Lonchura striata: one gene and its partner. The protein of the gene in region 1 interacts with the protein of each later gene in a pairwise test. Links are inferred from orthologs where the notes say so. Each region holds a gene or a part of one and is shown in the gene's direction. Other genes may lie near its edges.

The links.
Region 2: the proteins of CTBP2 (region 1) and TSHZ3 interact in binary tests that used the Homo sapiens proteins (3 or more experiments, as listed by UniProt). The two-hybrid records come from large-scale screens. The link is inferred for Lonchura striata from reciprocal best matches to the Homo sapiens genes CTBP2 and TSHZ3.

The regions. Positions count from the first base shown.
Region 1 is NC_134609.1:29,530,992-29,534,733, reverse strand, and holds the start of CTBP2 (C-terminal-binding protein 2), read left to right. Parts: upstream 1-1,225; 5' UTR 1,226-1,346; intron 1,347-3,742. UniProt on the Homo sapiens protein: Corepressor targeting diverse transcription regulators. Functions in brown adipose tissue (BAT) differentiation. Isoform 2 probably acts as a scaffold for specialized synapses.
Region 2 is NC_134615.1:8,374,916-8,378,657, forward strand, and holds the start of TSHZ3 (teashirt homolog 3), read left to right. Parts: upstream 1-1,100; 5' UTR 1,101-1,240; intron 1,241-2,633; exon of another isoform or gene 2,634-2,800; 5' UTR 2,801-3,032; coding exon 3,033-3,072; intron 3,073-3,742. UniProt on the Homo sapiens protein: Transcriptional regulator involved in developmental processes. Functions in association with APBB1, SET and HDAC factors as a transcriptional repressor, that inhibits the expression of CASP4.

The DNA.
Region 1 (3,742 bases):
TGTACTGTTTCCCAGGCTGATTGAGAAGCACGGGATATATATATATATAATGCAGGACGCTTGATGATTATACAACAAAAAGATGGGATCACCACCTGCCCACATTCTTGTGATAAGCAGATGAAGAACGTCTGTCCGAACGCTAATTCCCAAATCTACGGGGGTAACACGGAGCACAAACACAGACGCGCCGAGCGCGCTCTCGTTCTCTCGCAGCCGGCCGAACGCCCGGCCGCGATCACCCGCGCTCACACCGACCGGGGGACGCGGCAGCCCCTCGGCCTGCGGGATGTCAAACCCCCGCTGCCCTTCATCCGCCGGCCTGCCGCGCCGCTCCGGCCGCGCCGCGGGGCCGGGCCGGGCCGGGCGCGCCGGGGGCCGGCGGCGGTGCCGGCGCTGCCGCGGGGCCGGGCCGGGCCGCTGAGCGCGGGTGGCCGAACAAAGGCGGCGGCGGCCGCTGCTGCTGCCGCCCTCCCCGCCCCTCCGCCCAGCGCAACAGGCGCCGCGCCCCGCGGAGCCCCTTCCCCGCCCCCGGAGCCCCGCCGAGCCCCTGCCCTGCCCCGCACGGTCCCGCTGCCGCTCCCCACCCCCGGCGCCTCCCCCGCCCCTTCCTCGCTGCGTCTGTTTGTACTTTGGCTGATCCACTAATCCCCCGAGAGAGCCTATTTGTAGTGAAGAGTATCTATAGGGGGCGAGGCTGGTCCATGTGGGTTTGTGTCATTGGTTTGTAAGGAGAGACCCCGCCTATTGCCAAAAAAAAAAAAAAAAAAAAAAAAAAAAAAAAAAAAAAAAGAGAGAGAAAAAGAAGAAGGGAGCGAAAAAAAAAAAAAAAACAAAAAAAAAACGAGGCAGTGAGAGGAGAGCCTCTACCTCTCCTCGCTCTCCGTTCACCCAGCGTGGCGAGGGGGAGCGGCTGCTCCGCCCAACGCCGCCCGGGCACTTTCTGGCTTAAAAAAAACCCCACAAAACACAAAAAAAAAACCAACCAAAAAAAAAAAAAAAAACCCAAACAAAAAAGGGGAAAAAAAAGCAGGAAAAAAAAGAGGAAGAAGGAAGGGGGGGGGGGAAGAGCGGCCCTCCCCCCCAAGTTGCAATTAGCATCCTCTCCACTGCTGCTGCGGGGCTCCGGTGCCCCCGTCCGCTCCCGGCGCGGCGGCGGGCGGAGCAGGAGAGCGGGGAAAAGGGGGGGTGGGGGGGAAGGATTAAGTTTTTTTTTTTTTTTTTTGTGCGGTGTGCGAGCGGGTGGCGTTTTTAAGGTGGATCTCCGGCAAGCAGAGCCCGGCGGTGGATGCGGGAAGGGATGCGGCGGTGAAGAGCGGCGCGGGGCTGGCGGCGGCCGGGAGCAGGTAAGGGAGCGGCGGCGGCTGCGCTTCCCGGCGAGAAGGACAAGGGAAAAGCGAGGACATCTTTGCTTTAGTCAACCTCACCGGCGAGGGGGACAGAGGAGAAGGAAAAAAAAAAAAAAAAAAACCGAGGAGGGGAGGGTAGGTGGAAATGTGATGGTGGAGGGAGGCGGCCGCGCAAGTTACGCGGGTGGGCGCGGAGCGGCGGGTGAAGTGGGAAATCTTTTGTTGTGCCGGGCCCCGCATTGTTTACTTAGTGCCGAGAGCCGCCGACAACATCTGCCGGGGGATTAACGGGGCGGCGGCGGCAGGAAAGTTTGGGCAAGGGGGGAACCCCGCGGTGCGGCGCGGCCGATGCTCCGGGGGACGCGGAGCAGCCGCCGTCTTGCGCTGCGCTTATAATTTATTTTTTTTTCTGGGGGGGGGGTGGAATAGTGTATTTAGTTATTGCCTTTTTTCTTTTTTAATCGTAATTTTAGGTAGATTACGGGGGGGGAATGGTTTCGGGTTTTTTTTAAATTTTAATTTTTTTAAAAATTATTTTATTACTGCTGAATAACCGCGCTCGCCGCTCAGTCACTTAGCAACTCTCCACGCTCCCAAGCCGCGGAGGTGCGCGGTGTCCGCGGGGCCGCGCCTCGCTCCTTCCCTCCCACCTCGTACCCCTCCGCCAGAACTCAGAATAATTTCCCCACTATTTATTCATTACGTGTATTCCCCCCCACCCCCCGATTTGACCATTTTAAACCCTACCCTGATATCACCAGAATGGAAAATCAGAGGGGGTGCGTGGATTTAGGCGCTGAGATTGTTCTTTTCACACCACTCCGCCCCACGATTAAAAAAAAACCCAACATTTCCCCCCCAAACTTGCAGGACTTGCTGAGGGGGAAAGAATAGCCTTTTGTCCTGCCGAGGGACGTGCCCCCAAGGTAAATCCTGGCTGGAGCTCAGCGCCTGGTACTTTGCCGGGTCCCAGGGCTCTGGCTGTGCTGGGGAGGAGGAAAGTAGGAGATGGAGATCTCAAAGTAGTAGAAGTAATTTCTTCTTTCAGCTGCACTCCTGCGCTGCCTTTGAATTGCCTGCAATGAATGTACGTAGCTCTAATTGAAGTACTTTAATCATTCACACTTGATTAAGTATACCGTGACCAGAGGAGAGGAATCCACGCGGCGCCCGGGAACGGGAGGGATGGGATGACATTTTAATCCTGTGTTTTAGAAAACATGAGTGGGGCAGGAAAAGAAGCGGTGACGGTTCTGTGTAACGGTCCCTTGTTTCCATACAGATGGTGCCTTTCCTTCGGGATGAAATCGCAGTTATTGCCGGTATTTGGGGAGGGGGGAGGAAGAAAAGGCACGTACTTCTAGGTTTGTTTAAGCAGAGTGAGGAAAATAATGATAGACGAGATGCCTGGTGACAAAATGCTTTTGTTCCTGTTTCCATCAGTGCGTAAGGGCGCCGACCTGCTTTAGCATTCTTTAAAGGTCTGTCTTTACCAAGGAAAATTGAAGATGGTCTCATTATAGGAGAGTGTGTTTGGAATACTATGAGGTATTTATGAATTCAGAGGTGATTGTTGGATCTCAGACATTTCAATTACGCATCCTCTAGTAAAAAAAAAAAAAAAAAATTATTTGTAGCGATGTGTTCTGTAATCTGTTACTTCCATAAAGCTGATTTGTGCTCGAGCTCCGTAGCTGGCTGAGGGAATGGGTCCGTCCACGGGGCTCGAATCTTAAACAAGGATTTCTGTTCTTTGCCTCACAAAACTTTCTGCTGCAGGGGCAGCCTGAAGTTCCCATAAAAGCGATTCTTTGGGAAACGTCAGCTATCGTCAGTATTTTCTGGAAAATCTGGCGTTGTGAATGCAGGGTGGTATTTTTAGAAAGGAGCTTTTTATTTTTGGAGGCGTTTGTGAAACCCACCTGTTAGCCATTAGGGGGGACAGAGGTTGGCTTTCATCGTTAGCAAACCCTGCGCATCTGGGGGCTGAGGGCTGTTCCTCACTTGATCCAAGCTCTCTCCAGTCATGGGCAATCAAAATATCTTTCCTTTTCAAAGTTACAACCAAGTGTTTCTGAAGCTGAACAGAAAATAAGGTGGTTCAGTCAGAGTGGTGGCACTCTCCTGTGTTCAGGAATACGGATTGCAGGAGCGTTTCACTCTTCCTTTCTCTCCTAGAATTTCAGAGTGAGATGCTTCCCTGGTCCAGGGTTGTATGGCCAATTTTATAGTGTACAAATCATAGATGATGTTTTCTTGCTGTCAGCTTTCTATCTTTTTAAGGTAGTTTTCCAGCCCATGTGGATCTGGGGGTTTGGCTGGCAGGGTGGCTCCAGAGCTCGATGCCCCCTGGAGCTGGCAGCTCCCTCTCCTCCCTCCTCTCCTCCGAGGGC
Region 2 (3,742 bases), on another chromosome or scaffold:
ACTGCAGTGACTACACGCGCCGTGTCATTTTAATTTTGCTGTAGTTTTCAGGGCGCTCTACCAGCGCCTGGTGGCAGAGTGACCTTCCCCGCACTCCGTGCGGCGAACAGGAACAGAGCTCCGGGGTCTCTCGGCTGCCGAAGCTCCCGGCCGAGCATCCCAAAGTTTGTTTCAGTCTCTCTCTCTCCAGAGCTCGGAGGAATCCTCCATGTTGCGCAGCGCGGGCCGGCTGGGCCGAGCAGCACCTCAGCCCGGGGCTCGCCTCTCGCGGCTCCGCGCTCGATGCGGTCCTGCCGCAGCCATCGCCCCGCGGAGCCGGGAGCGCAGCCGGGCCGAGCGCGGGGAGCGCCCCGGTCCCGGTCCCTGCCCCTGGCCGGCAGCATCCTTCGGGGGGGTGGGGGGCGTGAATTATTTAGATTTTCTATTTCCTTCTTAGAGGGGGAGGAGGGAGAGAGAATGAACGAGCTATTAACCGCAGCCGAGCCCCGCTTCCCGAGGCTGTCTAACGTTTGTAAATACTTATGCTGCGGCTGGTCCCCTCCTCCCCGGTTAAGTTGTTTAGTATGTTGGTTATTTGTACCGAATCCCGGTCTGTGTAGTGTCTGATGTGTTGTCGTTGCAATGTGCAGCCAGGGTGACACTGATGGATGCGCCAATGGTGAGACGGACAGATGTTAGGGCGGATCTAGCGGCACGCACCGCCGCGGCGGCGAGCCCGCCCGCCCGCCCCGCCGGGGCTGCCCGCCGCCCGGCCCCGTCCTGCCGCACGGCTCACCCACGCTCGCACACTCACACACACAGGGCTTTTTGGGGAGGGGGGGCAACGTCTCGGTGTCGTCTCTTAAGCAGATCTGATCGCTCCTTCTGTGAGCAGATACTGTAACTGTGAGGAGCAACCAGCGAGTATCAATGAGATGGAACTGAGCGAGTTTGGCAGCAGAAGCGGCAATTGACAACTCACCATTTTCTTGTTTTCAAGAAATGTTTCGTTTTCCCCCAACAGTAGCAATTTCCCGGGGACTTTAGGCGACTGCGATTTTTTTTCATCCTAAAGATCAGCTTAAAAAAAAATCAACTCATAACAATAATAATCCAAAAAAAAAAAAAAAAATCCCAAACCTTCTCCACCCGTCATGTAAAGTGTTTGAATTTCCTGCAACTTGAAAGGGAAGCGAGAGCCCGAGAGCGGCACGGCGGCTTTATAGGATGTGAAGACGCAACAACATCTGCACTTAGTCAGGTATTTGGAATTATCCCAAATCTCGAAGAATGGGGGCGAGTGGAAATTTTTTTTGATCTTACCGTAAAAGTGAGCTCAGCCTTTTTTTTTTTTTTTTTTTTTTAATTCCTCCCCGTGAACTTTAAAAAAAAAAAAAGCTACTGTTCTTTCTTTCTTTCTTTCATTTTCTCTCTCTCTTTTTTTTTTTTTTTTTGTTGGCGGTTGCTCCCGTGTCTCCCTTGCCTGCTGGCGGTCCCGGCGCGGGCGGAGCGGGGGCGGGAGCGGCCCGGGCCCCGCGCGCCCCCCGCCGCCCCGGCCCTCCCCGCGCCGCGCGGCCCCGCCGCCCAGGGATGCGCAATCAAACCCGCAGCACATCGATCCGCCGGCGCTCGCCGAACTGAGCGCGGCGGCTCGGCAGTGAACTTGGACCGAGAAAAAAAATTAAAAAAAAAAAAAATCCAAAACTGAGAGAGAGAGAGAGAGAGAGAGAGGAAAAAAAAAAAAAAATCCACCGCCAAAACAGGGAAAACGAGGCAAAAGTGCTCCTTCCCGAAGAGCCGGGTGCGTGGGGCGCGGGCGCTGCCCGCTCCCCGCCGCTCTGGCCCCGCGGGGCGGGAGCAGCGGCTCCGCTGGCGGGGGCGCCGCCGATAGCGGCCGCCGGCCGGGGCGGCCCCGACACCGCCCGCCCGCAGGCGCGGAGCGGAGCGCGGCGGCCGCGGCGCCAGCCAGGTGGGAGCCGGCGGGCTGGATGTGCCGGCGGGCGGGCGGCGCGCCGGTGAGTGCGGCCGGGGCGGGCAGCGCTGCGGGGCGCGGCGGGGAGCCGGGGCCGCTGCCGCCGCTGTCACCGCGCGGGGCGGCCGGGATGGAGCGGCGGGCCGGGCCCTCCTCGCCGGGGGGGCGGGGAAGGGGGGATCCCGTGCCCCGGCGCGGCGGGAGGCGATGGCTGCGGGGGGCTCCGGCGGGGAACGGGTGCGCGCGGGGGCGGAAAGGGAAGGGCTGCGGCGGGGAGCGGGGCAGCGGCGCGGAGCCCGGCGGGCTGCCCTGCCTGTCCCTGCCCGGCCAGCCCTCCGCCGCCGCCGCGGGCGGCTCGGGAGACCGGCGCCAGCGGCGGGCGAAGTTGGGTGGTGGAGGGGGCGCGGCGAGGGGGTCTCCCCGGCCGGCGGGGCAGACCCCTGCCCGCCCCCGTGCTCGGTCCGGCGGGCGATGCGCGCTGAGTGAAGGCGCGGCCCGGGGCGGGCGGCGGCGGCGGTGCCCCGCTCCCCCTCGGCGGAGCAGTTTGAGTGACACCGCGATCATCTCGTTTCCCTTCAAGCTTCGCCTGTTGCCGCCGCCGCCGCCGCCGCCGCTCCAGCGCCGAGCCGGGAGTGGAGAGCGCAGGCTGAGGCTCCGCCGGCTCCGGCAAAGAGATTCCCTGTCTTTATGCCGTGATCTCCCAGCCCGGCCAGGCACCGGGGGCGCAGGGCGGGGTGGGGGGGACTGCGGGCTCTCCCCAGCCCTCCCGCCCGCACACCTCTTCGGGGGGCTTCCCCTCCTCCTTCCTCCGGGGCGATTTGTCAAACTTCCCCCCTCTTCTGCCAGCAGCAGCAGCAGCAGCAGCAGGGCTGTCCTCTCCTCTGTGCCGCCTCCTCCTCCTCCGCCGCCGCCGCCTCCTCCTCCTACTCGGCATCGTGTATGCACAGCAACAAAAAATATATCCCCGACCCAGCCCTCGCGCCGAGGCTGGAGCAGCTCACCGGATCTCTGGGGCTGAGGCAACTCTTCCCACCCCCGCGCCCCGGCTGCCCCCCCCCGCCGGCGCCCGCAGCAGCCCAGCATGCCGAGGAGGAAGCAGCAAGCGCCCCGGCGCGCAGCAGGTACGAGAGCCGCTTCCCTTCCTTCCCTGCCTTCCCTTCCCTTCCCTTTCCTCCGCGGCCGCTGCCTTCTCCTCTCGCCTCCCTCGGTCTCTTTCATAACCGGCTCCCGGCGGGCTCCGCCGCCGCTCCGCGCCCCGCTCCTGCCCCGCTGCCCGCCGCTGCCGGGGCTCTGCCGAGCAGCTCCCGGGCTGGAGGCGCAGCGCCGGGGCTGGGGGTGTGGGGGGGATTTTGTTTATTTTTTTCTTTGGGGTGGGGGGCGCATGAAAGCCCGTTCCCCACTTTTGGTGCCCACTTTGATTTATTCCGAACTCAGCCCGGCTCGGTTCTGGGGGTAACCCTGTGCGAGGGGCAGGCGGGTGTGTGCGGGCACGCACTGCCCGGGCCGGGCTCGTATGGTCGGTGTCACTCCGGGGCTGGGGGAAGCAGGAGGCGAATTTTGGCTATTTTCAGCCCGTACTTTGGCACCTACTTTGCTTGTTTCTCTCGTAGTCTTCATTCTTCTACATCCCCTTCCCTCACACGTGAAACCCAGGGAAAATATTATTTTTATTTAAGTCTTCTTTCCTATAAAAAAAAGAGAGAGAGGATATGTACAAAAATATGGCACGCTGTGAATGAAGTGGCAGGGACAAAGTGATTTGGAGGCTCTGCAGTGTTAGTTGAAGATCCA